7 linked regions of the Oryctolagus cuniculus genome follow. The protein of the gene in region 7 purifies or fractionates together with the protein of the main gene of each other region. This does not show direct contact. Links are inferred from orthologs where the notes say so. Each region holds a gene or a part of one and is shown on either strand. Other genes may lie near its edges. The genes, in order: CDC26, ANAPC7, NEK2, ANAPC16, ANAPC13, ANAPC4 and ANAPC2.

Region 1 (4,215 bases), about 21 Mb from region 7:
CCTGGCTCCTGCCTTCAGATCAGCGTGGTGCGCTGGCCGCAGCGGCCATTGGAGGGTGAACCAACGGCAAAGGAAGACCTTTCTCTCTGTCTCTCTCTCTCACTGTCCACTCTGGCTGTCCAAAAAAAAAAAAAAAAAAAAATTCTGTAAAAAAAAAAAAAAGGCTCCTGGATGATGCTAGGTAGTGTAAGCAAAATATGAGTCTATAGATTCAAGTTTAAAAATTGAAAACTTGTAACATAAAACTACAGCTATCTAAGCTGAGGAAGGCACGCATTACAGAAAACTGGAGGTAAAGGTAAAGATGGACTGAAATCTGTCATCTTACCGGAGGTTATATTAATATTTCCTGCTTCAATTCCTGCTTTAAGTCCTTCTTTTCCCAAAATCCCAGATTCTCCTTTGGCCAGCCGCTCCCTTTCCTTCTCTTCCAGACTTCCATAATAAATGTGTGGCTTCTTCACCACCGGAGCCACCAGGTCATCAGGCGCTTTCGTTTTGGTGGCCTGCTAGACCGAAGGCTTCGATTAATTCAAGGCTCGATCTTAGCAATCCACGAGGCTTCCCTAAAGGGTGAAGTTCATCCTGACCTCCCCCAACAAAAGGCCAAACTGGGCGCCAGGGAAGATGCGCTTCACGGACCCGCGGGTGTGGGGATGGGGGCGGGAGGGCACGTCAGCCCTTCAATCACTTCCAGTTTGACAGCTTGAAGAGGTGGATTAAACCCGGTTCTCCGGGTGGTTCTGCCTCTGGAAGACGATCACTTCATTCTGTTGGAAGTGCAAGCTCTTTTTGGGTTTCGTGATACTTCCAGGGTTACCGTTTAACACGGGGGGAAACACCAAGGGTAAGGTAAAAGAACCGGCGTGGTGCCGAGGGAGGGGTAGCCAGTGACAACGCTCCTGCTCGGTCCATCTCAAGCGTTTTGAGACCTGTGGTAGCAGAGCAGGAGCCGGGAGGCCTCATCCCAATTCCGAGGTCTCCTATAGACAGCCACCGTGGCCAAGACACTCGCCCACTCCGGAGCCCTGGTTTGGACCAGTCGGAAGTGGTGTTTGCCGTTCGGGGCTGCGGTGGGACAGGTGCATACGAGTAACAGCACATACACTCGCTCAAGGGTCCGGGGAATGCTGCTCTGCTCTGGAGGGCAGGACCGAGTCCGGCAGCCCTCCACCCTGTCAGCCCGCTCCCTAACGGACCCTTCCCCGAGGGACCCCCACCCTCTCGGCGCTCCCTGCCGCAGTGAACTGAGATCCCGAGCTCCGTACCGTGGAGGACGCTCGTGACGAAGCCATGCTGGGCTCCGCAGCAGCCAAGCCCCAGAAAAAGCCAAGCTCTCCGTTTCAGACCATCCACCGCGCGCCCAGCAAAGCGGAACTACGTCACGGACCGGAAGTGAAGTCGGGCGCCGACGCAGCGCCCTGAGCGGCGCGGAGCATCATGGGAGTCGTAGTAGTTACTATTCTGGTCGCGTGGAGGGGCATGACCCTTAGAACCTCCGAGAAAAGCTCGCGGGAGACGAGGTTCTGGAGGGGAGAGGGGCGCGAAGCACTCTGGGAAGTGTAGTCCAGTTGGGCTCGCAGTAGATTCGTGGTGGGAGCTGAGGTTCCTTCCGGGAAGGGGCTGAGCGGGCTTGGAGAGAGAGGAAGGTGAGTCAAGTCGCGCGGCCGGGCGCTGAACTCTGGAGCTTACCGAGGGCTCCTAGAGACTTTACGTCGTCCCGGGGCGGAGGCCCATGTTGCCATGGAAACCATCGCCCGGACCGCTGAGTGTGGTCCTGGGGCTGGGCGAGGAGGGTTGTCGGGGTGGGGGTGGGGAGGAAAGTCCTCCCGGGGCCGGGGGCTCCGGCCGAGCTGGCTCAGTTTGCGGTGGATTTGGGCAGCGGTGAGAGATGAAGCTCAAAGAGCCCTCTAGCGTCTAAGTGAAGTAAAGAGCGGGCGAAGCTTCGGCCCGGTTTTGCTGTTGCTTTTGTTTCGTCTTCAGCCGGGTCTTTGTGTCAGACTGAGTGAGATGATGGCTAGGAAGGCGTCGGGTAGACCGCAGCCGACTCTCCTGCATAGCCCTGTGCTCCTCTGGGTGCGGGGGCATCAGCGATGAACAAGGCATGTAGTGGGTGGGAGACTCAAAATGTTCGTGTTTGCAGAGCTGGAACACCCCCCTCCCCCATCGTTATCTCTTCCGCCCCCCGCCCCCAACAACTGCAGTCATAAGTGCCTGTTATTTATTGAGCGTTTACTGAATACCACAGTTGTGTAGCCAGGAGCTTAATCGGCATTACGCCATTCAATTCAGACAGCAACAGAGTATAGAGGCAAGGAAGGTCTGGTGCGAGACAAAGATCGGAAACTTAAAGGGATCGGAGCCAGCACTTCAGCCGGGTCTCTACCCTGCTTCCTAGTGGTGGTGGTGGGCTTTTCGTTTTCGCAGAAAAGTTAAAATGCATAGCGATCTTCTCAGTATCCCTTCCTCACCCCATTTGGAACTTCGTTTTCCTCTGCTGCTTGTCGGCATTGGAATCTGGTGGACAGTATCAGATTTAAGTCAAAGCAAATTGAAATGTAATGTTTTGTCCTGGAAGAGGGGCAACCGGGACAGAATCCGGCGCCCCGACCGGGACTAGAACCCGGTGTGCCGGTGCCGCAAGGTGGAGGATTAGCCTAGTGAGCCGCAAAAAAAAAAAAAAAAAAAAAAAAAAGTAATGTTTTGTGTTACCACTGCGTGTCTGTCTCAGGCTTCATGGGAGGAGGAGGAAATGTTTCTTCTTTTATGCACTTCTCAGTCCCCGGTTTCATCCTGGGTACAGCCAGTGGCGTTCATTTACATCAGTCTCATTTAATCCTCACCCCACGGTCCTATGTGTGACTCCTACAGGAGGCCAGACTGGACAGCTTGCTTTGACTTCTTTCTCTGTAAAATAGGACGATCTTGCCAGCCTCACAGGGTTTTCGTATTAAAATAAGCAAGTGAAGAATGGTGATGGAAAAATTAGCCCAGTGCTCACTCAAGTTCATTTTACTTTAGTTGTTTCCTATATTCAGGGAACGTTTACTGACTGCCTAATGTACATACACAGACTCTGTTGGGTGCCATGAAGGTGCCCCTCAACAGATACTAAACGTGATGGGGAGTTCTGTTTGCTCAAAGAAAGGGTTTTTGTTAAAAGTATTGTCTTGACTCAGACTGTTCTCTTGAGCTTCTTTGTGCACTTGTTCTCTCTGCCTGCTCTTTAGATGTCGACTAAGACTCCATTTAGACATCATTTCCTGCCATAGGCCGTGTTTAACATCCCTGGCCACCACCCCACACCTAGTCCAGCTTTCGGGCCAGCATGGCTGCCATTGTATTCTCATCAGTGTTCTTGCTCCCCTCGCTGTTAATTTTCCCCTCACGTGTCTGTTTCTCCCACAGGTTGTGTCTGTACCTTTTAATTTTGTAGCCGGAGCACAAGAAGTCTTTGCTAATGAATGATCTGTCTGGTTGATTGAGACACTGAAGAGAATCTTGTGAATTGGTGAGTTCAGTTTTGCCTAGAATTTTCTTATAGGCAGCTTGCTGGTGTTCAGTTTTTTCAGAAAGAGGTTTTTGAATCACCGCGTTGTGGATCTCCATCATGAAATACAAATGTAAGAAGCATACACCTAAAGCCTTAAGAAATCTATGTGTGGGGCTGGCATTGTGGCACGGAAGGTAAACCACATCTTGCAATATGGCATCCCATATCAGAGTCTTGGCTGCTCTGCTTCCAGTCCAGCTCCCTTCTAATGTGCCTGGGAAAGCACCAGATAATGGCCGGTGTGTGTGAACCCCTGCCACCCACTTGGGAAACAACAATGGAACTCCTGACTCCTGGCTTTGGCCCGGCTCATCCAGAGACACTGTGGCCATGGGAGTAGTGAACTATGGTGGATGAGAGATCTCTGTCTCTCTGTGCCTCTCCATCTCTTTGTCACTCTGCCTTTCAAAAAAAGAAAGAGATCTATGTGTGAATCCAAGTTTGATTTTGCTATTGCCTTCACTTTAGTGTACATGTGTAGAAATTGGCCTTATGTATGTAACTGCAACGTATCACCTCCAGTTTTTCTCTGTGTCATTTTTAATAGCTCATAGTTGATTGGATCTGCTCTCAGTGTAGATTTCAGTATGCTGCGACGGAAACCCACGCGCTTGGAGCTCAAGCTTGATGACATTGAAGAGTTTGAGAGCATTCGAAAGGAC
Region 2 (3,039 bases), on a different chromosome or scaffold from region 7:
TTGCAGGCAGAGAACAGAAATATGAAGATGGAATTGCGTTACTCAGAAACGCACTGGCTAATCAGAGTGACTGTGTCCTGCATCGGATCCTAGGAGATTTCCTTGTAGCTGTCAATGAGTATCAGGAGGCAATGGACCAGTATAGTATAGCACTAAGGTAGGCACTTAGCCTCCCGTGGGGGAAGGTCCATGAGGAGGGCAGAGGAGGCGTGAACTGTGGTTACAGGAGTTCTGAAACACACACACACTTCATGCTCATGGTTGGAAGCAGAATCGTAACAGTAATGGTGAATCCCAGAGCCATTTGTGAATTCATGACTTTTAAAAATCTTTTCATCAAGTATAGTAACAGTAAAGAATTGTCTCCCTCATAACCAGTCCACACCACTTTGCCATCCATGTTCATTTGTACAGATCATCTTCCTGTCCTTACCCACACACATGCATATGTTTACAGTTACACCTAGTATATATTTTATACTCTGCTTTTTCAAGTCACAATACTGTACCTTCCCATGTTTCTCTCTACTGTAGTAGTGAAAAACATGGGTCTGAAGTTTGGGTACTGCCTTCACCTCTGTCATCCTGGCAAGCTACTAACAGACTTCCTGTCTACATTCAGTGGTTGAGGATTAAGTGATATTCCATGTAAAGCTCTTAGCACTGTGCCTGGTACATAGTGAATACTAAATAAATAGTGGTATTCTACTGCTTAACACAGAAGTGCTTTCTTTGAGGGTTGTCTGTGTGTCTGGAAGGTTCTGGTCACATCCGTTCACTTGCTCAGCACACAGTTGAACGGCGCTCGTGTGCCTGGCATCTCAGTGGCCCCTGGGGATGCCGCATGTCCTCGGTGTTCGTCTCAGCCGAGCAGACCGATGACGCCAGTGTGCTGTGTGCTTTCATAGCATCTGTAGAAGGGCAGGTGGGCGTCAGAGGGCGGGAACTGCAGCAGTTCTCAGCCGTTGAGGACTGAGGTGACACGACAGGTTTTAGTCCGTGTTGACTATGCATGAATAGGATTCCAACATGGGTTTTAACTGCCTTTTGGAAGCCCGGAATCAAGTGAAAAAGTCACATTCCAAGCCTCCACTGGACGATTTCCCAGGGATGGGACGTCCGCTGGCTTGGGTGATTGTCACCAAGGCAGGAGGACGGGTTTCCTGGGAATCGGATCAGTGATGCTCTGGGGCACTGAACTGGGGAGCTGGGCACATGGAGCTCAGTCTGAATGCCCAGCGGGGGTAACCTTGGTCCTGGGGTCTAACCTAGGCATCGACAGTGTTCCATGGTATAGCATGTTTGTGTTGCCTACTGAAGTGCTGACGGTTTAATTACATGTTCTGCTCACAGAAAAGTAACTATTTTGTAGCCCTATAGCTCAAAACCTAAATTCCTTTCAAGAAATTACATTTTAATTTTTCTGTTGATGTTTGCTTGCTACTTTTTCATTTGTGTTATCTGGTAGCTGCCTGTAGCAGAGTGCTAGGGGTAATAAATATGAGAAGGTTTAAAAAATTTCTGAAGAAAAACTCAGTTTGAGAATTCTAGAAATCAGGAAAAGACGCCTCTTCTCACGTCTGGTGGTGGACTTCCTCGATGAGCCTTGGAAGCTGGCGTTGTTTGGAGAGGCCAGGCGTTAGCAGTTTCTCTGACTGTGTGGTCATTTCACTGCCGGGCCAGGGACATGACAGATCACCAGCAAGAAGCAAGGCAGAGATTCAGGCCTCTCCTTTGTTTTGTTGTCCCCTAGTTTGGACCCCAATGACCAGAAGTCTCTAGAGGGGATGCAGAAGATGGAGAAGGAGGAGAGTCCCACGGATGCCACTCAGGAGGAGGATGTGGACGACATGGAAGGGAGTGGGGAAGAAGGGGACCTGGAGGGCAGCGACAGTGAGGCGGCCCAGTGGGCTGACCAGGAGCAGTGGTTCGGCATGCAGTGAGGGCAGCTCCGCGCGCCACCTGCTCGGAGCGCTTCCCTGGACCCCAGGCGCCGTGGGAGCTGCTCTCGGGACAGTGACGCAGCGAGTGCTCCCAGGAGGGGCCTGCCCCTGCTCCTGAGTTCTAGTCGGGACTTGATTCTAACGCTGAGCCTGGCCAGCCTGCCAGGATGCCCACCCTCCCGTCTCCAGCAGGGAGGACTGCGAAGCCCTGGCGCCCACACACTTGCGGGGCTCCTGGGCAGGGAGTGCTTCGGGTATAACTAACCACATCCAGAGCTCAAGGAGTAGACTGCTTGTCTGACGTGAGTGGGCTTGGAGGAGTAACCCGCCTCCCAAGGATGGCAACACAGCCTGGCCCTTGCCACAAGGGCTCCTGTTCCGAGAAAGTCATCCTGGGCTGTCCAAGCTTCCCCAGTAACCCGCTTCCTTCTGCAAGTTAGTAATGCCTTAAGCTGACAGTCGCTGTTGTGCAGAGCAGTTTTCCTGTTTGCTAAGCTGGTACCTTGCCTCTGAGCCTGGGCATGAGAAACAGGTATGGTGAGAGCATGACAGGGGTGCGCCTCGGCAGTTGCCTAATAAAAGTGGTTTGTACAGTCGTGTGTTGGGGTGGTCGGAATGGAAGCCTTTAATAGACTCTTATTTTGGTCTCATTCAGAAAGCATTGGTTCAGCCCCAGAATTATTTGCCATAAATAGACTCTCTCTCTCTCTTTCCCTGCTGTTGGGAACAGGAGAGACCTCAGGTCACCCTGAACTGGGCCATGCATTTGCAGTCTCGCTTGGTGAATCTCCCTGGGGCCTGGGAGGCTTTGGCCAGGCTTCAGACAGTTGGCCTGGCGCTTTGGAGCCTGAGGTCCGTGTCTGGCCTCAGCATCCTCACGGGGGAGCCTGCGGTGTCACACTGGACTCGGGTGCTGGGAGACTGTTCACCCAGCTCCCCGCTGGTGCCGAGGCTGTGCTGCCTCGAGTCTGCAGTTAATGGTGGTGAAGAGAGGGGAGGTGGAGCTCCCCCAGATTGTCAGGTGCTGCAAAATGTGAAATGAAAGTTGTGTAAGATAATACCCTAAATATACAAAGTGCAGCTCAGAACATCTGAT
Region 3 (4,255 bases), on a different chromosome or scaffold from region 7:
CTCTCTGCTGTGGCCAGTGAGCGCAGTGGAGGATGGCCCAACTACTTGGGCCCTGCACCCCATGGGAGACCAGGATAAGTACCTGGCTCCTGCCATCGGATCAGTGCGGTGCGCCGGCCGCAGCGGCCATTGGAGGGTGAACCAACGGCAAAGGAAGACCTTTCTCTCTGTCTCTCTCTCTCTCACTGTCCACTCTGCCTGTCAAAAAAAAAAAAAAAAAGTTCCATAAAAGCTCGAGTTGAACTACTAACCTACAGGAACTTAATGGTCAGGTGGCTCATCGGGAAAAATGTAAACTTCAAAATAAATAACATTATTAATTTTGGGCTATTAGATATTACTAAACAAACAAACCAACAGACTGAATGTCCTTGCGTTTGGACATTTAGCATTCAGATGGTCAAAAAGTCACAAAATTCAGGGGTACTCACAGGAGACATGTAATAAGGTGTCCCAACAAAGGTCTTTGCAAAACTCGTATCGTGGTTTAATATCCTCGCTAGCCCAAAGTCTCCAAGCTTGACGTTTTGCTTGCCATCCAGGAAAACGTTGGCTGGTTTCAGGTCCCGATGCAGCACAGTGTGGCCGCCGTCACTTCGCCGGTGACACTCTTTTAGGGCCAGCGTCAACTGAGTCATCACTCGAAGAACAAAGTCTTCATCTAAGTACTGTCTGAAAGCAAAGCAGTTACACAGCATGGAATTCTGGGATCGTTACAAGGATGGGACGGGATGCAGTGGATTATCTGGCTTTTAATGTGGACGAATGGGGCACGATGTTATATTTTTTAAAGATTTATTGCATAGTGGGTTAAAGCCCCAGCCTGCAGTGCCGGCACCCCACATGGACGTCAGTTCAAATCCTGGCTGCTCCTCTTCCAATCCAGCTTTCTGCTATGGCCTGGGAAGGCAGTGGAAGATGGTCCAAGCCCTTGGGGCTCCGTACCTGTGTGGGAAACCTGGAAAAAACTCCTGGATCCTGGCTTCAGATCAGCTCAGCTCTGGCTGTTGCAGTCATTTGGGGAGTGAACCAGCAGAATGGAAGACCTCTCTCTGGCTCTACCACTTTCTGCAACTCCGTCTTTCAAATAAAGTAATTCTTAAAAAAAAATTTATTTTATTTGAAAGGCAGAGTTACAGAGAGAGAGGAGACAGAGAGAGGTCTTCCATTCCACTGGTTCACTCCCCAAATGGCTACAACAGCCAGGGCTGCGCCAGGCTGAAGCCAGGAGCCAGGAGCTTCCTCCAGGTCTCCCATGTGGGTGTAGAGGCCCAAGGACTTGTGCCATCCTCCTCTTCTTTCCCAGGCACATTAGCAAGGAGCTGGGATCAGAAGTGGAGCAGCAGCCAGGACTCCAACCAGTACCCATATGGGAGGCCGGTAGCGCGGGCGGCGGCTTATCCCATCATGCCACACACTGGCCCCGGGGAAAATGTTATTTTGATGTGAAACCTGGGTGTTGAGCCATGCCAGGAATTTCCTAAAATACCATGGACTCACAAAATACAAGAAGTCTTCCACTATCACAAGATGCTTAACAGAAACGCGAGCAGGCCCACGTCAGCTGCCAGTTCCAGATTACCTCTCCTTGGTTCCCTTGGCAATCACGCTCGCCAGGTCCCCTCCTTCGCAGTACTCCATCACGATGTACAGAGTCGTGTTGGTTCGGTCGATGATGCGGTCATAGTAGCGCACGATGTTCGGATGCTTCAGCTCGCGAAGCAGATTCACTTCAGATACAAGCATCTGCTTCTCAGCCTCTGTCATGGAGCCATAGTCAAGTTCTTTCCAAACTAATATCTGGAACCAGAATGGCCAAGGTCTGAATAAACTTCCCATTCTTTCAAAAAGAATTAAAGCGCCAACATGTGAAGAACTCACCTCCCTTTAAAATATAGCCTACAAAAGCCAAGGTCATTATCATCTAATTTAGTGCAATAAAGGTAGAGTCCTGTGTTGCCATCCTCAACCTTTCTCCAGCTTTTGAGCAGTGAAAGATGCTTTGCAGGTTGGGGGTCGGGGGGAGAGAAGGGGGTGCACTAGGCCTCCCACCTCGCCCCTATGAGCTGTCCGTGGGAGGATGGCAAAGCCCCTGAGCATTGCGACTGGTCACGCTTTCCCAGGGCTCAGCAGCGGGCAGTTTCCCCGGCAACGTCTCCTTCTGTACAAGATCCACCTACACACATCGGGAAACGCCCACCCCCAAATCCGGAGAATTGCTATTATTTAAATGATATGTAAATGTCAGGTTCCCTTGGTCCCAAGAGGGTCAATCTTCTCCACAAACAGCTCAGGGGTCAGCTGCCTGTCACCAAAGGGAAGCCCTTGGCAGGTCAAAGCAGGAGAAAGGGAGGAAAGGGGAGAAGAGGGGACACGATGGGAAAAAAATTATATATATATTTTTCAAAGGACGAAGTCTCCCGCCCCGCAGGACAAGCTGTCAGCGCACGCCTGGAGAGAGGGCTGAACCTTCCCGGCGCCCAACAGCCTCGGGCCCCGCGGATCCCCGGGGCGGCCCCGGGCGGACGAAACCTCCGCCGGGGCGGGGACAGGGAAGGGCCCGCGCTCACCTTGCCGTCGCTCTTCCTCCGGACCTTCTGGCAGCGGCCATAGGAGCCCGTGCCAATGGTGTACAGCACTTCGTAGTCCTCCACCCGGGACGGCATGGCCGAGCCCGTCGCCGGACTCGCGCTCCCCCCGGCAGGTCGCGCCGCGGCCACAGAGCTGAGGCCAGCACCCCGGAGAACCCCCCCAGGCTGCCCCGACCCGCTCCCCGGCCTTCGGCCCGGTTTAACCGTCGCGGGCCCGGATCTCGCAATCTATTGGTGGACGCCGAGGTCTCTTCGTCCCTCTGATTGGCTGAGACGATCACAACACCCTAGGCATCCTGGGAAAAGTGTGTCGCTAGGCAACCGCGTCGGCTTCGCCTTCAGCGTGGACTTCCTTCTAGGGGAGGAGGGGGCGGAGCTAAACCAAAGGAAGGGCTAGGGAAAGAAAACGCGGAAGGCAGGTGGGTCTTAGCAACAATATCCCTCCGGTTGAGATCGCCTAGGTAACCGAGGTTCGGGACCTTTCCAGAGACCCTCAACCAACTGCCTTCTGACCTTTGCACTCTGACCCCTCGCGACTCCTCTGGTACCCTGAATCTGGGCGGGGCCGCGCTGGAGACTGAGTACAAAGGGGAACCGAGCTGTTCTCGGAAGGAGTCACAGCTTCCGCTGCGGCAGGACCGCCCGAAGTCCCCGCGTGGCGTCCACAGCGCCCTGGGGAGCGGGAATTCGCATCCCTGCTGTTTCCCAAGCCCGGGAGGCGGAAACCCCTTGCTTCAGGCCCAACAGCCGAGATCAGACCCATCAGCACAAAAACAGTGGCTGCTCCTGGTGTTGACTTCGGCCTCGCGCGTGGCCTGGTGGAGGGACGAGCAGCGTGCAGGCCTGTTCCACACGCAGACGTGCACAAACCTGGGGGAGAGGTCGGAAGTCCCTGATGCGTGGGGGGAGCCATGCATATAGTGGCTCTGAGGCAGGCGCAGCTTCCTACCAAAAATTATTTTAAAATTATTTTTAAAAATTATTTTAAAAGAAGCTACTAAATAGGTTTTCTGGGTTCCAGTATTAAGTATTCTCAACTGAGAATACTTAATGAGCCACGGTAGGGCACCCGCAGAAGTGAGCATTCTCAGCTCTCCCAGCCCAGTGAAACTGTCCCAGAGTCCCAGCGAGGGCTGGGTCGGGGAGCATTGAAGCCAATGCGTGGCAGTGTGTAAGCAGGTCAAGATTCTTTAGATATCTGTTCAGTATGGTGTGGAAAGGAGCTTATGGTAGGTGAGCAATAAATATTTGCTGATACGCTTTGCCTAGGAGCTGCTCTCCAGGCTCCTGGGATGCCTGCATCACAAATCAGTGTCCCAGGTGGAGTCCCTGCTACTCTGTTTCTGTTCCCACCCAGGTGGGAGACGCAGAGGGAGTTCCTGGCCCCTGGTTTCAGCTTGGCCCAGCCCTAGCTCTTGTGGGCATTTGGGGAGTGAACATGTGGATGGAAGATCTGTCTCTCTCTCTCTCTCTCTCTCTATCTCTCTCTCATTGTCACCCTGCCTTTCAAACAAATAAAAATAAAAAAGCTTAAAAATAAAATTGGAGAAAGCTGTTTATTAAGAACTATGCAAGGATTTGGAGGGAGCCTCAGATACTCGGTTTTCCAATGCCCTTTGCTCTATGGCGGAGACAAAATATTTGGGAAGGAGTCATTCCAGGAG
Region 4 (3,500 bases), on a different chromosome or scaffold from region 7:
TTTAATATTCTTGGTTTGACTTAGGAGAGTTCAGAGGTTGCAATCTCTGCATTATTTTCCATAGTCTGTCTTTAAGTATAAGTAGCTTTAAGTTACTGATGCAGCCCGCATCGCAGCTCACTTGGCTAATCCTTTGCCTGCAGCGCCAGCACATCGGGTTCTAGTCCCGGTTGGGGCGCTGGATTCTGTCCTGGCTGCTCCTCTTCCAGTCCAGCTCTCTGCTGTGGCCTGGGAAAGCAGCAGAAGGTGGCCCAAGTCCTTGGGCCCCTGCACCCACATAAGAGACCAGGAAGAAGCATCTGGCTCCTAGCTTCAGACTGGCGCAGCTATGGCCGTTGTGGCCAAATGGGGAGTAAACCAACAGATGGAAGACCTTTCTGTCTCTCCCTCTCACTGTCTTTAACTCTACCTCTCAAATAAATAAATAAATTATATATTTATGTAAATTTGTAGTATTTCAGGCAAAAAGGTAAATATATAAATAAGTTTCAAAACTAGCATCAAGTAGATTTTCTTAAAAAGATTTATTTATTTGGCCGGCGCCGCAGCTCACTAGGCTAATCCTCCGCCTTGCGGCACCGGCACACCGGATTCTAGTCCCAGTCGGGACACCGGATTCTGTCCCGGTTGCCCCTCTTGCAAGCCAGCTCTCTGCTGTGGCCAGGGAGTGCAGTGGAGGATGGCCCAAGTGCTTGGGCCCTATACCCCATGGGAGACCAGGAGAAGCACCTGGCTCCTGCCATCGGATCAGCGCGGTGCGCCGGCCGCAGCGTGCCAGCCATTGGAGAGTGAACCAACGGCAAAAGGAAGACCTTTCTCTCTGTCTCTCTCTCTCACTGTCCACTCTGCCTGTCAAAAAAATAAAATAAAATAAAATAAAAAAAAGAATGTAAAAAAAAAGATTTATTTATTTGGAAGGCAATGTTAGAGAGAGGGAGAGATGGACACAGACAGATTTTGCATTCATTGGCTCACTCCACAAATGGCTGCAATAGCCGGGACTGTGCCAGTCTGAGCTGGATCAGAAGTGGAGCAGCCGGGATTCCAACTGGTGTCCAGATGTTCTTTGTCAATGTTTTTCAGAATATGATAAGGGGCTGGCACTGTGGTACAAGAGGTGAAGCAGCTGCCTGTGATGCTGGCATCCCATATGAGCACTGATTGGAGTCCTGGCTGCTCCACTTCTGATCCAGCCCCATGCTAATGTGTCTGGGAAGGCAGTGAAAGACAGCCCACGTGCTTGGGCCCTGCCACACAAATGACAGACCTCGATGGAACTCCAGGCTTCTGGCTTCACCATGGCCCTGTTCCGGCAGTTGTGGCCACCTTGGCAGTAAGATCACTGCCACCAGTGGATGTAAGATCTGGATCTGTCTTTCTCTCTCTCTGTAATGCTGCCTTCCAAATAAATAATACTTAAAAAAAGAAAAAAAATGAGAAGACTATCCTTATGAGAGGGTCCTGGACATTGGTCAAAATGAGGATTCTTGTGCTATGCTAAGAATCTATACACAAGGCCCAGAAATATGTTACTATTATTTTTGATTTGTGAGAGCACTTGCATTCACTGGTTCACTCCCTAAATGACCACAATGGCCAGTACTGGAAAGGGGCTGAAGCTGAGAGCTGGGAACTCAATCTAGCTCTCCTTCACGAGTGGTGGCAACCCAAATACTTATGCTATCATGTGCTACCTTCAAAGTACACCATAGCAGAAAGGTGGAACTGGGAGTGAAGCTGAGCCTCGAACCCAGGTACTCTGCTATGGGATGCAGGTATCATTAACCTCTAGGCCAAAAGCCTGTCTATAAATGTGTATTTTAAAAAAAGCTCTTCAAGTGATTTTTGATGCTATTAGTCAAGCTCCTAATATTGACATGAATCTGATGAACTGCAGCTACCAACATGGCTTTATGCTTACAGCCCATACTGGATCTTGGCCAGCCAGTCTGTGTGCTCAACAGGATGGTGGATGACTGCATGTACACCTGGCTCTGGGGCCTTCAGGGGGCCAGAAGGGTCATCTCCTTGTTAAAGAGCAGGGTGATAGCTATTATTTTCTCTTAGACCCTCTCTGATGGGATGCTCTTTCTGTAGATTAATTATAGTAGGAAAAAATACCATGAACCTCCCACCAAGAAGAGGTAGATGGGTGCAAAGATAAGGCAAACTGGAGAAGGAAGCTAAAAGAATTGCTGGTTCTAGTGCCGGCTTCCTTTAACGTGGTCAAATAACTTAACTCTTCTGGATCTAAATAACTCTGGATGACCTCCTTGATTTCCAAAGTCTTTTTTTCAGCTCCTAAATTGTGACTATGGAGCAAGATTTGTTTTTAAAGATACTATTTTGAGATGGGAACAAGAGATGAAACGTAGAGCTGAAATCAGGACAAACTGATCTCAAATCCATTTAAAAGCTTCTTTACAATTAATATTCACTGCAGGTCTAAGGCAAATTATTCAGCAAAAAGCAGCATGAGATCACCTTCTAACATCTCTCCAGCTCCTTTGGGGTAGGTGAAAAGGGCTTTCCGTGGTGGGGCGAGGTCTGACACACTGAAACCAGATCCAGTGACAGAACTCCCACTGACCCCACCAGCCGAGGAGGACGACGACGAGGCAGCCATTTCCTCTCCAGGCGAAGGCTCACTTCACTACAGACAAGAAAAACAGCAATGGAAGCGCAATCAACAACATTTCATTCCACCGCAAGGGCCAGCATACAGTTTTGTACAGAACAGGTTCCCCTGTCTTCTACCTTTTCAACTCCCACAATCTTTTCGTTTTGAAGCCAAAGTATGTTTAAGAAGTCTGTCTACTGAAAAGACTACTTCCTGTGACCAGCAAACTGTGTGTCACTTGAGACTGACTGTGGGTGATTTACGAGTTATGAAGGGGAGCCATGGCAGGGCCAAGCACAAATCTGACTGTGGAAATTAAACCACCATCCTCCATAGGACAGTTTGTCTTGGACACACTCTGACCAAACCACACCAAGAAATTCACTTATAAAATTTTCCACATAAAATTTCAGAATAACACTGTGTTCTGTTCCCAAGGAAGGGAAAATTGGTTAGGAAATACGTATTGGCCCTTTCATTAAACATTTTTTTAACCTTTCCACCCAAATGTAGTACCGAAACTTATCACTTGGTGGCATCCCAAAACTGGAACAAAACAGCTCAGACAAGGATGCTGGAAATCCTGACCTGCTAGGAATACAGCAGCTGCTCGTGTTTAGTCCCTGTCATATCAAAAATTCAAATGTAAATGAGAAAATCTATACTGAAGACACGACTTTTTACAAAAGTTCAAAACAGGCACACTCTGTTTACTAGGATAAAGCTTGTGTGGCCCTAACGAAAGATTCTGAAGGGTATACTTAGTAGAAAAATGGTCTAGTACCATGCGGTCTCAGGGAAGGTTCTGCTGTGATGTTAAACGCTCTAATGTTCTATTTCTACACTGCCTCATACAGCAGTCACAGCCTCATGTACTGCC
Region 5 (4,254 bases), on a different chromosome or scaffold from region 7:
GCCCTCGAAGCCCGCTGGCCCAGTCACTATGAAGACAAGCCAGGCACCTTACGAGTATTTCCCAGGGAACGCAGGACAGGTGCGTGTTCTGGAAACGTCGGCAGCTGACAGGGCCGAGGGAAGCAGGGGCCCCGGTTAGCTTCCATGCGGCTGCTCCTGTCTGTCCGGCACACTTCATTGTCCGGTCTCCCTCCGGCTGTGCTGTGGCAGCCAGAACACGGCTCCGGAGGGTGGCGCCGCAGCCCTGGCAAGACCCCTGGCCGTGCTGGTTACCTCCGCTTTCTGAACCACACTGCTCTGTGGGGCTGAGACGCTCATACGCCCCCGCGGCTCCGACTTCTCTGCCCTCCTGGTACAGCCCCTGGACACCCTGCCTCCAGCCACGGTCCCGGGCCCCATCGCCACCTACCAGCGGTATCGCCACATCCTCGTAAGGCAGCTTGTCTTCCCGCCAAGCGTCGTCGATGAGATCCAAGATCCTTCCATCCCGCTGCACCTCACTGTCCATGTTCCCGTGGCTTTGATCTCGGCGGAGCCGGACGCCAAGGGGTTCCTTCTGAAACGGGACGGCAGGAAAGATGTGGACTTAGCACCAGCACTGCCCAGGCATTCCCGAGCCTCCCGTGAAGGCAGGAAGAGGTCCTCTTCCAGGCGGTCAAGTGACAACTTAAAAACCAGAGTTCCTGCGCCCGGTCAGCCGACAAACGCTGTGCAGTGAGCGCCTCTGGACAGACTCATCCATCCGTCTGCACCTGCCCCGATTCAAACCTCAGCACAGGAGCGCACTGCACGCGCTCAGCTCACACCTTAGGACGTGGCCAGGACAGGCCTGCCGCAAGGCCTCAGGCCAGGGACGGCGAGAGCGTCGGAAAGCTTGCTTCCTTCCTAAAACAGTGGCCCGGCCGAGCTCCGAGAGGGGCACCTCCAGGTGAGCAACTGGGGCATCCCAGGCTGCTCCCCCACTCTGAGACCAGGGTATCTCCATCCCGCCCCCCTCAGCGACCATGGTATCTCCCCACTCCCCCTTCTCAAGGACCATGGTATCTCCCCTCCCATCCCCTCTCCCCATGCTCTTCAGTGAGGATGGTGTCTCCCTGCCCCCTCTCAGGGACCATGGTATACCCCCCTCAGTAACCACGGTATCTCCCCCCCGCCCTTCAGTGACGATGGTGTCTCCCTCCCCCCTCTCAGGGACCATGGTATCTCCCCACTCCCAGCTGCACTCAGTGCACAGATGCCTCCTGCCAGCCTCATTGTCCCCTGAGCAGCTGCAACCTCATGCAGAGGCCTGGCTGGCAGGTTCCCTCATCGCTAGCGTTCCTCCACGTTAATCCCAACGGCCCGCACTCCACTGGACCAAAGGCGCCCTCAGGCCCTCCCGGCATCTGACACTGCGGAGGCGCACACAGAAAACCTCGGCGGGCGGCGGGATCCCACTCCATCCACGGGCCTCTGCTCTCCTAACAGCAAGACGGCTCCTAACCCCTGGACCGTAATTCTACCCGCGTCGGGGTGCGGAGAGGTTTCTAACCTCGGTGAACGGGCAGAACTGCGGCAAAGGCGCTCCTTCCGCTACCAGCAAGCCGCGTGGGGCCCCAAGGCTGGCCCAGGACCACGCGGCGACTCGTTGAAGGAGCCTGTCTTCAGGGCTCCTGAGGCTCAGGTGCAGTTATATGCGGTGCAGTCTGTCCCCTTTGCTGGTTTTCCCAGGCCCTCGCAGAGCCCCCTCCTATAAAAGCTTCCGGAGACCTCGGTCCTGACTCATCCAGACACAAGCGAGCTCAGCTCTGCGGCCCGCGGCTCGGGCACGCCTGTCTGGCTGCAGGTGCAAATCCTGCACCAGGATCCCCCAGCAGGTCTCTTCCACCTGTCCGCAAACACCGCCCGCCCAGTCCCACTCTCCCGCTCTGAAATCCTGCCCCTAGCGCCTCTGCATCAGACCTCGCCTTCCCCGCTGGCCTGCAGTCTGGCGACTTCAGGTGAACCCACTGCATGCAGGGAATGGTGTCCGGGCTAGGTTGCCCCCCGCCCCGGACCCGGACCCCAGACCCAGGACTCAGGATTAAATCACCACCTCTACAGCAAGGCTAGGCTCCGTTCTGCATGCCTCACGGGAACCCCGGCCCTGATCAACAAATTCCCGTCACACCACTCTCCGCACCGGCCAGAGGGCCACCGCTGACCAGTGTGCCAACCAGCCCTACTTGTCCTGGGGGCGCCGTGCCTGGCGCCAACAAGGGAGACAGACAGTGCGTGCCTTCCCTGCGACAGGGGCACGTCTTGTCCATCTCTGTCTCCCAAAGCTTTGTGACTAAGCATTTACACGATCAAAGACAAAACACCACCCCAGCTTTTCTGTGGCGCTACAAATGACCCTCGCAGGCCACCGTACCGGGAAGGCCAACCCACAACCACGGCTTCCGGCCCGAGGCGGGCGCTACCAACTGGGGAAACCAGGAGGGGGAGGTCTGGGGCCGCCACGTCAGGGCCTTCCAGCCCGCCACACTCCAAGGGTGAGGTGAAGGCATCGGCCGCGGCCGCTGCACTCGACCCCGTCACACCAAGACCCGCGCCACGAACGCAGGAAACTCTTACCAGCACCCGGCCCAAAGCAGCAGCGCTTCCTCCCGGCCACACCCCGGCACCACGTGACCCGTTCGCCCGTCTCCCAGATCCCCGGATGTGGGTGAGCCCATTTATGCGCGCGGAGGGGCGGTCCGGGTTGGGGGGGGGGTGAGGCGGCAGTGGGCGGAACGAACGTGTCGGCGGCAGAGGGAGGACGTAAGATCGGCGGCGCCGCGCGTGCGCGGGCCCGTCCCGAGGTAACGACGGGAAGGCCACGGGCGCGCTCGCGGCGGCCGCTGGGTAACCGCCAGTGGGGACCTAGGCCCCTGCGAGGGGCGGGCGTGTCCTGGTCCGGAGGCCCTGGCCAACCTGGTGCCCCCAGCCGCGCGGCCGCATGGCCCGGGACTGGCTTCTGCAGCAGCCCGCCGGCCACCAGGGGCGCCCCTCGGCCTGCCCGCCCACGCCTTGTGGCCCCGCGAAGGCGGCCGTGGCCCAGTCCGCGGTGGCGTGCGGCCCTGCGGGGAGGTCAGCCGTGGCCCGCAGGCCGGCCGGAGGGGGGTCGCGGGCTCGGGCGCCGCTGCGTGGAGTGCTCCCTGCGCGGGGAGGCTGCAGGGTGGCGTCGGCGGGGTTGGAGGAGGCAGGCCGCCCTCGACGTTCATATTCACATAGAAGGAAATGGCTTGGAGCGGTTGCTCAGTAACGCCCTACACGACCAGGCTCCTGGGGCTGGATCTGCGGTGCCCTGGCGGCCCTGGGACAGTGGCGGAAGCTCCTGTTCGTTTAGGGCTGCACGAAGCAGCTTCCCCCGAGCCCAGGGTCGGACCCCCGATGTCGGCTTCAGACGCCCCGCGTTTGCACAGTTTTGCTCCCCGTGTAGTTTGAGTTTACGAAGAGGAAACCAGGAGCGACACGGGCTGCATACTGAATCTTTAACGGATGTAGCTTGGTGATCGAGTCTGTGTTCGCTTGCTCGGAAGGCGGTGCCCTTGGTTTTCCTGCTGAGCTCCTTGCTAGTTAGCAAGGCCCTGAAACTGGAATGGGCTAGAGATGTGTAACCACCTAGACACTGCCCTCTGCAGCCCGTGCGAGTCAAGTTCATAAACTCGCTTCTAAGGGTTGTTTAGGTCGATTAGTCCCCGCGCTCCTCTGTGTGGGCCACTCTCACGGCTACCTTCCTGCTCCGCACGCACGCTGTCGGCTTGCAAAAAGCAACATGGACCTCAAAGTTGCAGGCATTGAATTTCTGGTTTATGTTAGCCCTCCCCTCCGCCCCCAAGAGCTAGGTTGGTTTCTGCAGTTGCACAAAGCCACAGAACTCTCACACCTGTGGAGATCAGAATTCCCTACTGTGGGCCTCCGCGGGGCTCGGGTTTCTTCAGCTGCCCCATCCCTGTGTGTAGTTGATCCCAGGTCTCACCCCGAGATCTCCCTGTGTGCTTGACTGATAGACCTTTTAAATCCTACCTGCAAACGGCTCTCTGGCCTCTTTCTGCTGTTCTACACTGACCTGTTTGCCTCCCGAGGTGTGCTTGGGTCCCCTGGAATTGCACCTCCGCCTAGCCAGCTGCAGCGGGTACGCTGATTAACATGGCAGAGCACACAGTCCAGTTCTGCATTGCATAGTGCTTGGTACAGCTGCAGCTCCTCCCGTGGTTACTGTTTGAACAGTGCAGCTGTAAAATTGTTACA
Region 6 (2,869 bases), on a different chromosome or scaffold from region 7:
ATGTCTGAGTTTTGCAAATACCATATCCAGGGGCTGGCGCTGTGGCGTAGTGGTTAAAGCCGTCGTTTGCAATGCCAGCATCCCATATGGGTGCCAGTTCTAGTCCCAGTTGCTCTACTTCTGATCCATCTCTCGGCTATGGCCTGGAAAAGCAGAAGATGGCTCAAGCCCTTGGGCCCCTGCTCCTGCATGGGAGACCCAGAAGCCCCTGGCTTCTGGCTTTGGATCAGCGCAGCTCCAGCCAACGTGGCCATCTGGGGAGTGAACCAGCAAATGGAAGATTCTCTCTCTCTCTCTGCCTCTCTAGTAAATCTTTTTAAAAAAATACCATATCTATCAACATTTCCAGTGGTGAATGATTATGAAAATGTGATTTCCTGATAGAGGAATAAATTTTGCTATCTTTTGGCAGAAAAGATTAAACTTTGTCTTCCCCTTCAATCAGTTCTTTCCTTAAATATTAGGTCTGCACACAGTGCCCGTATCACTGAGCAGGAGAATATGAGAAAGTACATACTGTTTATTTCTTTGTTACACAAAGAAAATTCACCGTGGTCCAAGCCCTGCTCCTCCGCCCACACCAGCAGCGGGGCCGCTACGCGTCCAGCTCGGGGTCCAGCTCTTCCACTTTGATGACGACGTCGGGAGCCAGCGCGGCGGCGCCAGCCTGCTGGCTCTCGGCCTCGGCCTCAGACAGCACCTCCTCCTTTATCCTCACAGGCTTGCTGCCCGCCTCCTCCTCGTCGTCCGAAGACTCATCCAGCTCCCACTCGTCATCGATGTCCATTTCAAACACTCTCACGTGGCGCAGGTTCGAGCTTAACTAAAAGGAAAGGGCCGGAGAAAGAATTTCTAATGAATGGCTCAGAAATGCCTCCCACGTAAGGAAGCAGAGATCTGGAGCTGGAGGGGCGGGATTTGGTGCAGCAGTTCAGATGCTGTTTGTGGGGACCGGAGTGGTGCAGCAAGTAAAGCCGCTACCCGCAACGCTGCATCCCATGTGACATGGGGGCTGGATCAAGTCCCGGCTGCTCACTCCCGATCCAGCTGCCTGCTAACGCACCTAAGAAAACAACAGAAAATGGCCCAGGTGCTTGGGCCCCTGCACCCATGTGGGAGACCAGGATGGAGTTCCAGGCTCCTGGCTTCGGCCTAGCCCAGCCCCAGCCGTTCTGGCCACTTGGGAAGTGAACCAGCAGATGGAAGATCTCTATTTCTCTCTCTGTGTTGCTCTGCCTTTCAAATAAATAAATAGACAAATGTTAAAAAAAAAAAAAAAAAAAAAAAAAAAAGGTGCTATTTGGGACACACGTATCCCATAGCAGGGTGCCTGGGTTCAAGTCTCAGTTCTGATGCAGACTCTGCTAATATGAACGCTGGAGCCAGGAACGCCACCTGGTCTCCCGTGCGGGTGCAGGGGCACAAGTCCCTCCACTGCCTTCCAGGCATGGCAGCAGAAAGCGGAACGGCAGGCAGAGGTGCCTGGACTGGACCGGGCACTCCAACAAGGATGCCAGCGTTGTGAGGTGGCTTAGCCTGTGACAGCCCAGTACCTATCCTGCATTCTTTTTTTTTTTTTTTTTTTTTTAAGATTGTATTTGTTTATTTGAGAGGTAGAGTTACAACAGTGAGAGGGAGAGACAGAGAGAGAGGTCATCCTTCCATTGGTTCACTCCCCAGATGGCCACAACGGCCAGAGGCAAGCTGAGCTGCAGCCAGGAGCCAGGGGCTTCTTCCAGGTCTCCTATGCAGGTGCAGGGGCCCAAGCACTTGGATCATCTTCTACTGCCTTCCCAGGCCACAGCAGAGAGCTGGATCGGAAGAGGAGCAGCTGGGACTAGAACCGGCGCCCATCTGGGATGCTGGCACTGCAGGCGGAGGGGTAACCTAGTGCACCACGGCGCCAGCCCCGTGTCCTTCATTCTTGTTAGTTTGTGTTTATCTACTTGAAAGGCAGAGGAACAGGGAGGGAGATGGACTTCCCATCTGCTGACTCACTTCCCAGACACCTGGGCTGGGCCAGGACAAAGCCCAGGACACAGCTCAGTCCAGCTCGCCCACATGTGTGGCGGCGACCCAACCCCTGAGCCAGCACCTGCTGCCTCCCAGGAGGCACCAGCTGGATTGGAAGCACGGGTCGGGGACTGGCCCTTTGACACGGGATGCAGGCATCCGAGTACCAGCTCAAACCACTGCACCACAGAGCCCGACCATCGGCCTTATTCTGTAGAGAGGAATCGCCACATCCAACAGCGGGAATTTCACGAGCTTATTAAAAATCCAGAAGCATTAACTACTTTCTCCGTGAGCTTTCTCAGAATAGGAGAACTCAACAGCCAAGGTCGCTACACGGCCCACATCAGTAAAGCTGAGTCATGGTCTCCCCCGAAGGGGCTGTGTGCCGCGTCAGAGCGATGGCCCTCCTGCCGCTGCTCTTGGTGAAGACGTGCGGACACTCACCACGCAGGACACTTTCCGGAAACCATTCCCAGCGACGTACTGTGCTTTCATGCTTTCCAGTAACCGCCAGTGCTTCTCGAAATGCACGGTGCGCGTGGGGATGACGCCGCACTGCTCGTCCAGCCTGCGGGGAAACACCGAGCCCGGTCACCATCAGGGTCAAGTCCCGATCCAACTTCTCCCATCACCCCACTCCCAACACGATCCTAGCAGTCACTGTACAGGAAAGTGTGATGGGACATGCTATAAAAATCCTGCAATTCCAAAGTTGGACAGATCATCTCAGTAAGGTTTTCTGATTCCCTGTCAAGGAAAAGCAAGTAGGTACATTTTTACATCAGTTAAGGGAACTGGGTACCAAAAAACCTGTCAACCAAAGTCATCACTTAGAATTGGTTACGAGGCCGGC
Region 7 (4,231 bases):
GGGACATACGGCCAGGGCACACACGCGCAGGGCCCCACGGGGGACACAGCCAGGACACACGAGCAGGGCCCCACGGGGGACACACAGCCAGGGCACATGAGCAGGGCCCCACGGGGACACGGCCAGGGCACACGAGCAGGGCCCCACGGGGGACACACGGCCAGGGCCCGTGAGCAGGGCCCCACGGGGGACACACACCCAGGGGACACACGGCCAGGGCCCCACGAGGGACACACGGCCAGGGCACACACGAGCAGGGCCCCACGGGGACACGGCCAGGGGCACACGAGCAGGGCCCCACGGGGGACACACAGCCAGGGCACATGAGCAGGGCCCCACGGGAGACACAGCCAGGACACACGAGCAGGGCCCCACGGGGGGCTGCAGGACAAGGCACTGACACGGCTCTGACCCTGCCCGCAGCCTCTGTGTCAGGTGGACGCTGGCCCTCCAGGTGGCCGGGGCGGCAGGCGTGGCCATGGGGGAACCCCGCTGCCCTCCTGGGAAGGGTTCTGCGGAACCGGCCGCAGGCTGCCCCGGCTGCAGACTGGCCTCCAGCGGCTCTCGGGAGAGCGAGAGGGCTCCAGTCCCTGCCCGGGGGTGGACCCAGCAGAGGCCCAGCAGAGCCCTGCCGGCACCTGGACCGGTCCCGCCGTCCCCTAAGAGCCCTCTCCCACACAGCCGCGCGCCGCCTCTGTCCGGTGTGACCAATCACCTCTGCGGGCCGCGGGCAGTGCGACCGCTAGGGGGCAACAGCAGGGCCAGACTCCAGCCGCCGCGGCCCAGCCCCCCCGGAGCACCGGAGAGGACACCTGCTGCCCCCTGCTGGCCGGGAGCAAAGCGCCAGCAAGCCCGCTCGCGCCGGCGCCTCCGGCAGGGCTAGGAGTGCGCGCCTGCGCTGCAGCCCGAGCCGCCGTCCACAAGGCCAGCACCCCGCGCCCCGCCGCCGGATCGGGTCCCACAAGGCCAGCACCCCGCGCCCCGGCGCCGGATCGGGTCCCACAAGGCCAGCACCCCGCGCCCCGCCGCCAGATCGGGTCCCACAAGGCCAGCACCCCGCGCCCCGGCGCCGGATCGGGTCCCACAAGGCCAGCACCCCGCGCCCCGCCGCCAGATCGGGTCCCACAAGGCCAGCACCCCGCGCCCCGGCGCCGGATCGGGTCCCACAAGGCCAGCACCCCGCGCCCCGGCGCCGGATCGGGTCCCACAAGGCCAGCACCCCGCGCCCCGCCGCCGGATCGGGTCCCACAAGGCCAGCACCCCGCGCCCCGCCGCCGGATCGGGTCCCACAAGGCCAGCACCCCGCGCCCCGCCGCCGGATCGGGTCCCGGCCGCTCCACTTCCGACCCAGCTCCCTGCTAAGCTGCCTGGGAAAGCAGCAGCAGACGGGCCAAGCACCCGGGCCCCCGCACGCGCGTGGGAGGCCCGGATGCAGCTCCTGGCTCCAGCCTGGCCCAGCCCTGGCCATTCTGGTCACTTCGGGAGGGAGCCGGACAGCAGAAGGCCTCTCTCTCTCTGCCTCTCAGATACATAAACCCTGAGAAGGCAGCAAACCCGAGCCTCCCGCGGCCTCAGCACAGGGACCTCGGAGCCCTGGGCTAGGCGTGCGGGCAGGCAGACCTGCGTGCGGCTTGCCGCGAGGGCCAGCAGGGCGCGGGGTACTCACAGGACCTGGCTGAGCTGCTGGAACTGCTCCAGCGCCTGGCGGCACCAGCAGCGCTGCTTGTCGCCGCCGCAGCCCGCGCACAGCGGGCTCTGCAGGAGCCGGTAGTACCGCCGGCGGGCGTAGCGGCTGTCCAGCTCGCCCTCCAGCTCGGGGTCCGTGCCCCCCTCTCCCTTCCTCTTGCTCTGCATGTAGACCCGCAGGAAGCGCCCGTAGAGACGCTGCACCATCTCCTGGAAGCTTCTGGGCGTGGAGAAGAACAGGACGCCCCGCAGCATGGTGTGCACCCTCTCGCGCAGCCCCTGCGCGCCGGGGCCCAGCAGCAGCCCCAGGCGCGTCCACTTCTCCAGGAGCTCCAGGCTGCGCAGGTAGGGGTCCAGGCGGCTCTCCAGCAGGCCGAAGGCGTCGAGGAGCAGCAGGAGACACTGGGGCTCGTCGGCCGCGTTCTCGCGCTGCGAGAGCGCGTTCCAGAACTCGGGGGCGATGTGGGCCTGCAGGTCGTTCTGCAGCACCTCCACGAACCACTCCTCCAGGACCGAGTGCAGCCCGTGGCCCCTCAGCACCTCCACGGCGGCGCGCAGCTCCTCCTCCTTGGGCGGCACCGCGCCGCTGGTCCGCGAGGACGCCTGCGGGGCAGGAGCCGCTGAGCGGAGGGGCGAGGGCCGAGGGCCGAGGGGCGAGGGCCGAGGGGCGAGGGCCGAGGGCCGAGGCGGGCGCCGACGGAGCCAGCAGAGGCTGGCGACCAGCGGACGCCCCGCGCGGGCCCGCCACCCCGCTCCCGGGCCTCACCAGTCCCAGCGCCGCCGGCGGCACCAGCCCGGTGCTCACGGTATTCCAGGCCACCAACAGATCCTGCCCAGGCCCAGGGCCGCCATCCCCCTGCACCCCCGCCGCCTCCATCTTCGCCCACTCGCTCTCAGAGACCCCACCCCCACCCCGGCGGTGCGGCGTCCGGAGATGACGCGGGCTGGGCGCGGCGCGCTGAGATGGCGTAGGCTGGGCGCGGCGCGCAGCCGTGACGCGCAGGCGGGGCGCGCGGTAGTGACGCGTCGACCGGCGCGCCGTCGGGGAGAGTGCGCAGGCGCAGACGGGGGCGGCGCGGCGGTTGGGGCGGCGGGGCGTCCGAGCGCTAACCATGACCCAGCAGGGCGCGGCGCTGCAGACCTACAACAACGAGCTGGTCAAGTGTGAGCGGCGGGCCTGTCGGGGAGGCCGTGGGGGCCGCAGGGCCCGGCTCCGGGGACTGTCGGTGCGAGGCGAGGCTCCCGTAGCGTGGACGCCTCGGGCCGGCCTTCCCCGGGGCGTTGTGTGGCTCAGGCGGGTGCACGCGGCCCGGCCCTGCCCGCGCCCAGGGCTGGGGACCGAGGGCCCCGGGGCGGGACCGTGGCCTTGCGCGGGCGGCGGGCGGCCTCCGGCCCCGGCCCGCGGCGCTGACCTCGGGCCCGCCGCAGGCATGGAGGAGCTGTGTCAGAAGCGGGAGGAGCTGTGCCAGCAGATCCAGCAGGAGGAGGAGGAGAAGCAGCGGCTGCAGGTCGAGGTGCGGCAGCTGACCGAGCGGCTGGCCCGCGTCAACGAGAACCTGGCCTGCAAGATCGCCTCCCGCAACGAGTTCGACCGGACCATCGCGGAGACGGAGGCCGCCTACCTCAAGGTGGGGCTCGGCAGGTGGCCGGGCTGCCCTGGGCTTGTCCCCCGCGGCTCCTCCCAGGGCTGGCAGAGCCAAGCCCGCCTGGCTCTGCAGCCTGGGGAGGAAGGGGTGGGTGGGTCCCCCCCCCCCCCCCCCCCCGGGTCGGGCAGTGAGTCTCGCCCCGTCGGCGCAGATCCTGGAGAGCTCGCAGACCCTGCTCAGCGTCCTGAAGAGGGAGACCGGGAACCTGAGCAAGGCCACCATGGCCACGGAGCAGAAGGGCGGCGGGGGCAAGGACAGCTGACGGGCGGGGCCGCCCCCAGCCCCCCTGAAGCAGCTGCACCGCACTGTGGCCCCGGGTGACCAGAAGCCGCCCAGACAGCCACCGGCGAGGGTCCTGGCCTCCCGCGCACCCAGGCCCTGGGGTGTTGGACTCCAGGTGGGCTCTGCGGCCCCCACACCCCTGGCACTGGCCTCTGCTCGGCCGTGGTGGCCAGGCCGGCGGGGCGGGGGCGGGGCCTAGCGCCCTGACCTGCCAATAAAGGTTGTATTTGTACAGAGCCCACCAGCCCGTGCCTGTGCCGCGTCAACCGTGGGGCTGCGCGCACCCCTGGAGCCGGTCCCCGCCCAGCCGCTGTGGCCCCTGGGGAAGGAGAGCCGAGGGTGCCCGCCCCACCCCAGGAGCGTGGACGGGGCTCTGCTCCTCTGTGCCCGCGTGGTGCATCCGTCCACGGAGGCACCCGTCCCGCTCAGCAGGGCTGGGGCTCCATCCCCTTGCCTGCTCCCGTTCAGGTCTGGGCCTAGCGGGTAAAGCAGCCGCCTGCAGTGCCGCTGCCCCACTCCCCAGCCAGCCCCTGCTGCCGAGGCCTGGGAAGGCCGTGGGAGATGCCCAGTCCTCGGCCCTGCACGTGTGCGGGAGACCTGGAGGAAGCGCCTGGCTC

Evidence for each region.
Region 1: the proteins of ANAPC2 (region 7) and CDC26 purify together in Homo sapiens (co-immunoprecipitation; 7 studies listed by BioGRID and IntAct, with this or other methods). This does not show direct contact. The link is inferred for Oryctolagus cuniculus from reciprocal best matches to the Homo sapiens genes ANAPC2 and CDC26.
Region 2: the proteins of ANAPC2 (region 7) and ANAPC7 fractionate together in Homo sapiens (co-fractionation; 6 studies listed by BioGRID and IntAct, with this or other methods). This does not show direct contact. The link is inferred for Oryctolagus cuniculus from reciprocal best matches to the Homo sapiens genes ANAPC2 and ANAPC7.
Region 3: the proteins of ANAPC2 (region 7) and NEK2 purify together in Homo sapiens (affinity purification with mass spectrometry; 4 studies listed by BioGRID and IntAct, with this or other methods). This does not show direct contact. The link is inferred for Oryctolagus cuniculus from reciprocal best matches to the Homo sapiens genes ANAPC2 and NEK2.
Region 4: the proteins of ANAPC2 (region 7) and ANAPC16 purify together in Homo sapiens (co-immunoprecipitation; 5 studies listed by BioGRID and IntAct, with this or other methods). This does not show direct contact. The link is inferred for Oryctolagus cuniculus from reciprocal best matches to the Homo sapiens genes ANAPC2 and ANAPC16.
Region 5: the proteins of ANAPC2 (region 7) and ANAPC13 purify together in Homo sapiens (affinity purification with mass spectrometry; 3 studies listed by BioGRID and IntAct, counting the BioPlex papers as one, with this or other methods). This does not show direct contact. The link is inferred for Oryctolagus cuniculus from reciprocal best matches to the Homo sapiens genes ANAPC2 and ANAPC13.
Region 6: the proteins of ANAPC2 (region 7) and ANAPC4 purify together in Homo sapiens (affinity purification with western blotting; 12 studies listed by BioGRID and IntAct, with this or other methods). This does not show direct contact. The link is inferred for Oryctolagus cuniculus from reciprocal best matches to the Homo sapiens genes ANAPC2 and ANAPC4.

What each region holds. Positions count from the first base shown.
Region 1 is NC_091432.1:216,878,127-216,882,341, reverse strand, and holds the start of CDC26 (anaphase-promoting complex subunit CDC26), read left to right. Parts: upstream 1-1,415; 5' UTR 1,416-1,649; exon of another isoform or gene 1,650-2,102; intron 2,103-3,408; 5' UTR 3,409-3,511; intron 3,512-4,100; 5' UTR 4,101-4,140; coding exon 4,141-4,215. UniProt on the Homo sapiens protein: Component of the anaphase promoting complex/cyclosome (APC/C), a cell cycle-regulated E3 ubiquitin ligase that controls progression through mitosis and the G1 phase of the cell cycle.
Region 2 is NC_091452.1:8,056,513-8,059,551, reverse strand, and holds the end of ANAPC7 (anaphase-promoting complex subunit 7), read left to right. Parts: intron 1-6; coding exon 7-157; intron 158-1,753; coding exon 1,754-1,943; 3' UTR 1,944-2,539; downstream 2,540-3,039. UniProt on the Homo sapiens protein: Component of the anaphase promoting complex/cyclosome (APC/C), a cell cycle-regulated E3 ubiquitin ligase that controls progression through mitosis and the G1 phase of the cell cycle.
Region 3 is NC_091444.1:26,251,891-26,256,145, forward strand, and holds the start of NEK2 (serine/threonine-protein kinase Nek2), read right to left. Parts: upstream 2,801-4,255; 5' UTR 2,667-2,800; coding exon 2,571-2,666; intron 1,801-2,570; coding exon 1,583-1,800; intron 673-1,582; coding exon 432-672; intron 1-431. UniProt on the Homo sapiens protein: Protein kinase which is involved in the control of centrosome separation and bipolar spindle formation in mitotic cells and chromatin condensation in meiotic cells.
Region 4 is NC_091446.1:63,342,950-63,346,449, reverse strand, and holds part of ANAPC16 (anaphase-promoting complex subunit 16), read right to left. Parts: intron 2,654-3,500; 5' UTR 2,627-2,653; coding exon 2,485-2,626; intron 1-2,484. UniProt on the Homo sapiens protein: Component of the anaphase promoting complex/cyclosome (APC/C), a cell cycle-regulated E3 ubiquitin ligase that controls progression through mitosis and the G1 phase of the cell cycle.
Region 5 is NC_091435.1:146,958,724-146,962,977, reverse strand, and holds the start of ANAPC13 (anaphase-promoting complex subunit 13), read right to left. Parts: upstream 2,801-4,254; 5' UTR 2,596-2,800; exon of another isoform or gene 2,555-2,595; intron 2,417-2,554; exon of another isoform or gene 1,532-2,416; intron 557-1,531; 5' UTR 509-556; coding exon 410-508; intron 1-409. Other genes in the region: CEP63 (centrosomal protein of 63 kDa), read left to right, coding at 2,960-3,090. UniProt on the Homo sapiens protein: Component of the anaphase promoting complex/cyclosome (APC/C), a cell cycle-regulated E3 ubiquitin ligase that controls progression through mitosis and the G1 phase of the cell cycle.
Region 6 is NC_091433.1:20,527,616-20,530,484, reverse strand, and holds the end of ANAPC4 (anaphase-promoting complex subunit 4), read right to left. Parts: intron 2,585-2,869; coding exon 2,461-2,584; intron 824-2,460; coding exon 596-823; 3' UTR 501-595; downstream 1-500. UniProt on the Homo sapiens protein: Component of the anaphase promoting complex/cyclosome (APC/C), a cell cycle-regulated E3 ubiquitin ligase that controls progression through mitosis and the G1 phase of the cell cycle.
Region 7 is NC_091432.1:237,481,196-237,485,426, forward strand, and holds the start of ANAPC2 (anaphase-promoting complex subunit 2), read right to left. Parts: upstream 2,801-4,231; coding exon 2,453-2,800; intron 2,290-2,452; coding exon 1,667-2,289; intron 1-1,666. Other genes in the region: microtubule nucleation factor SSNA1, read left to right, coding at 2,799-2,850, 3,115-3,314, 3,484-3,594. UniProt on the Homo sapiens protein: Together with the RING-H2 protein ANAPC11, constitutes the catalytic component of the anaphase promoting complex/cyclosome (APC/C), a cell cycle-regulated E3 ubiquitin ligase that controls progression through mitosis and the G1 phase of the cell cycle.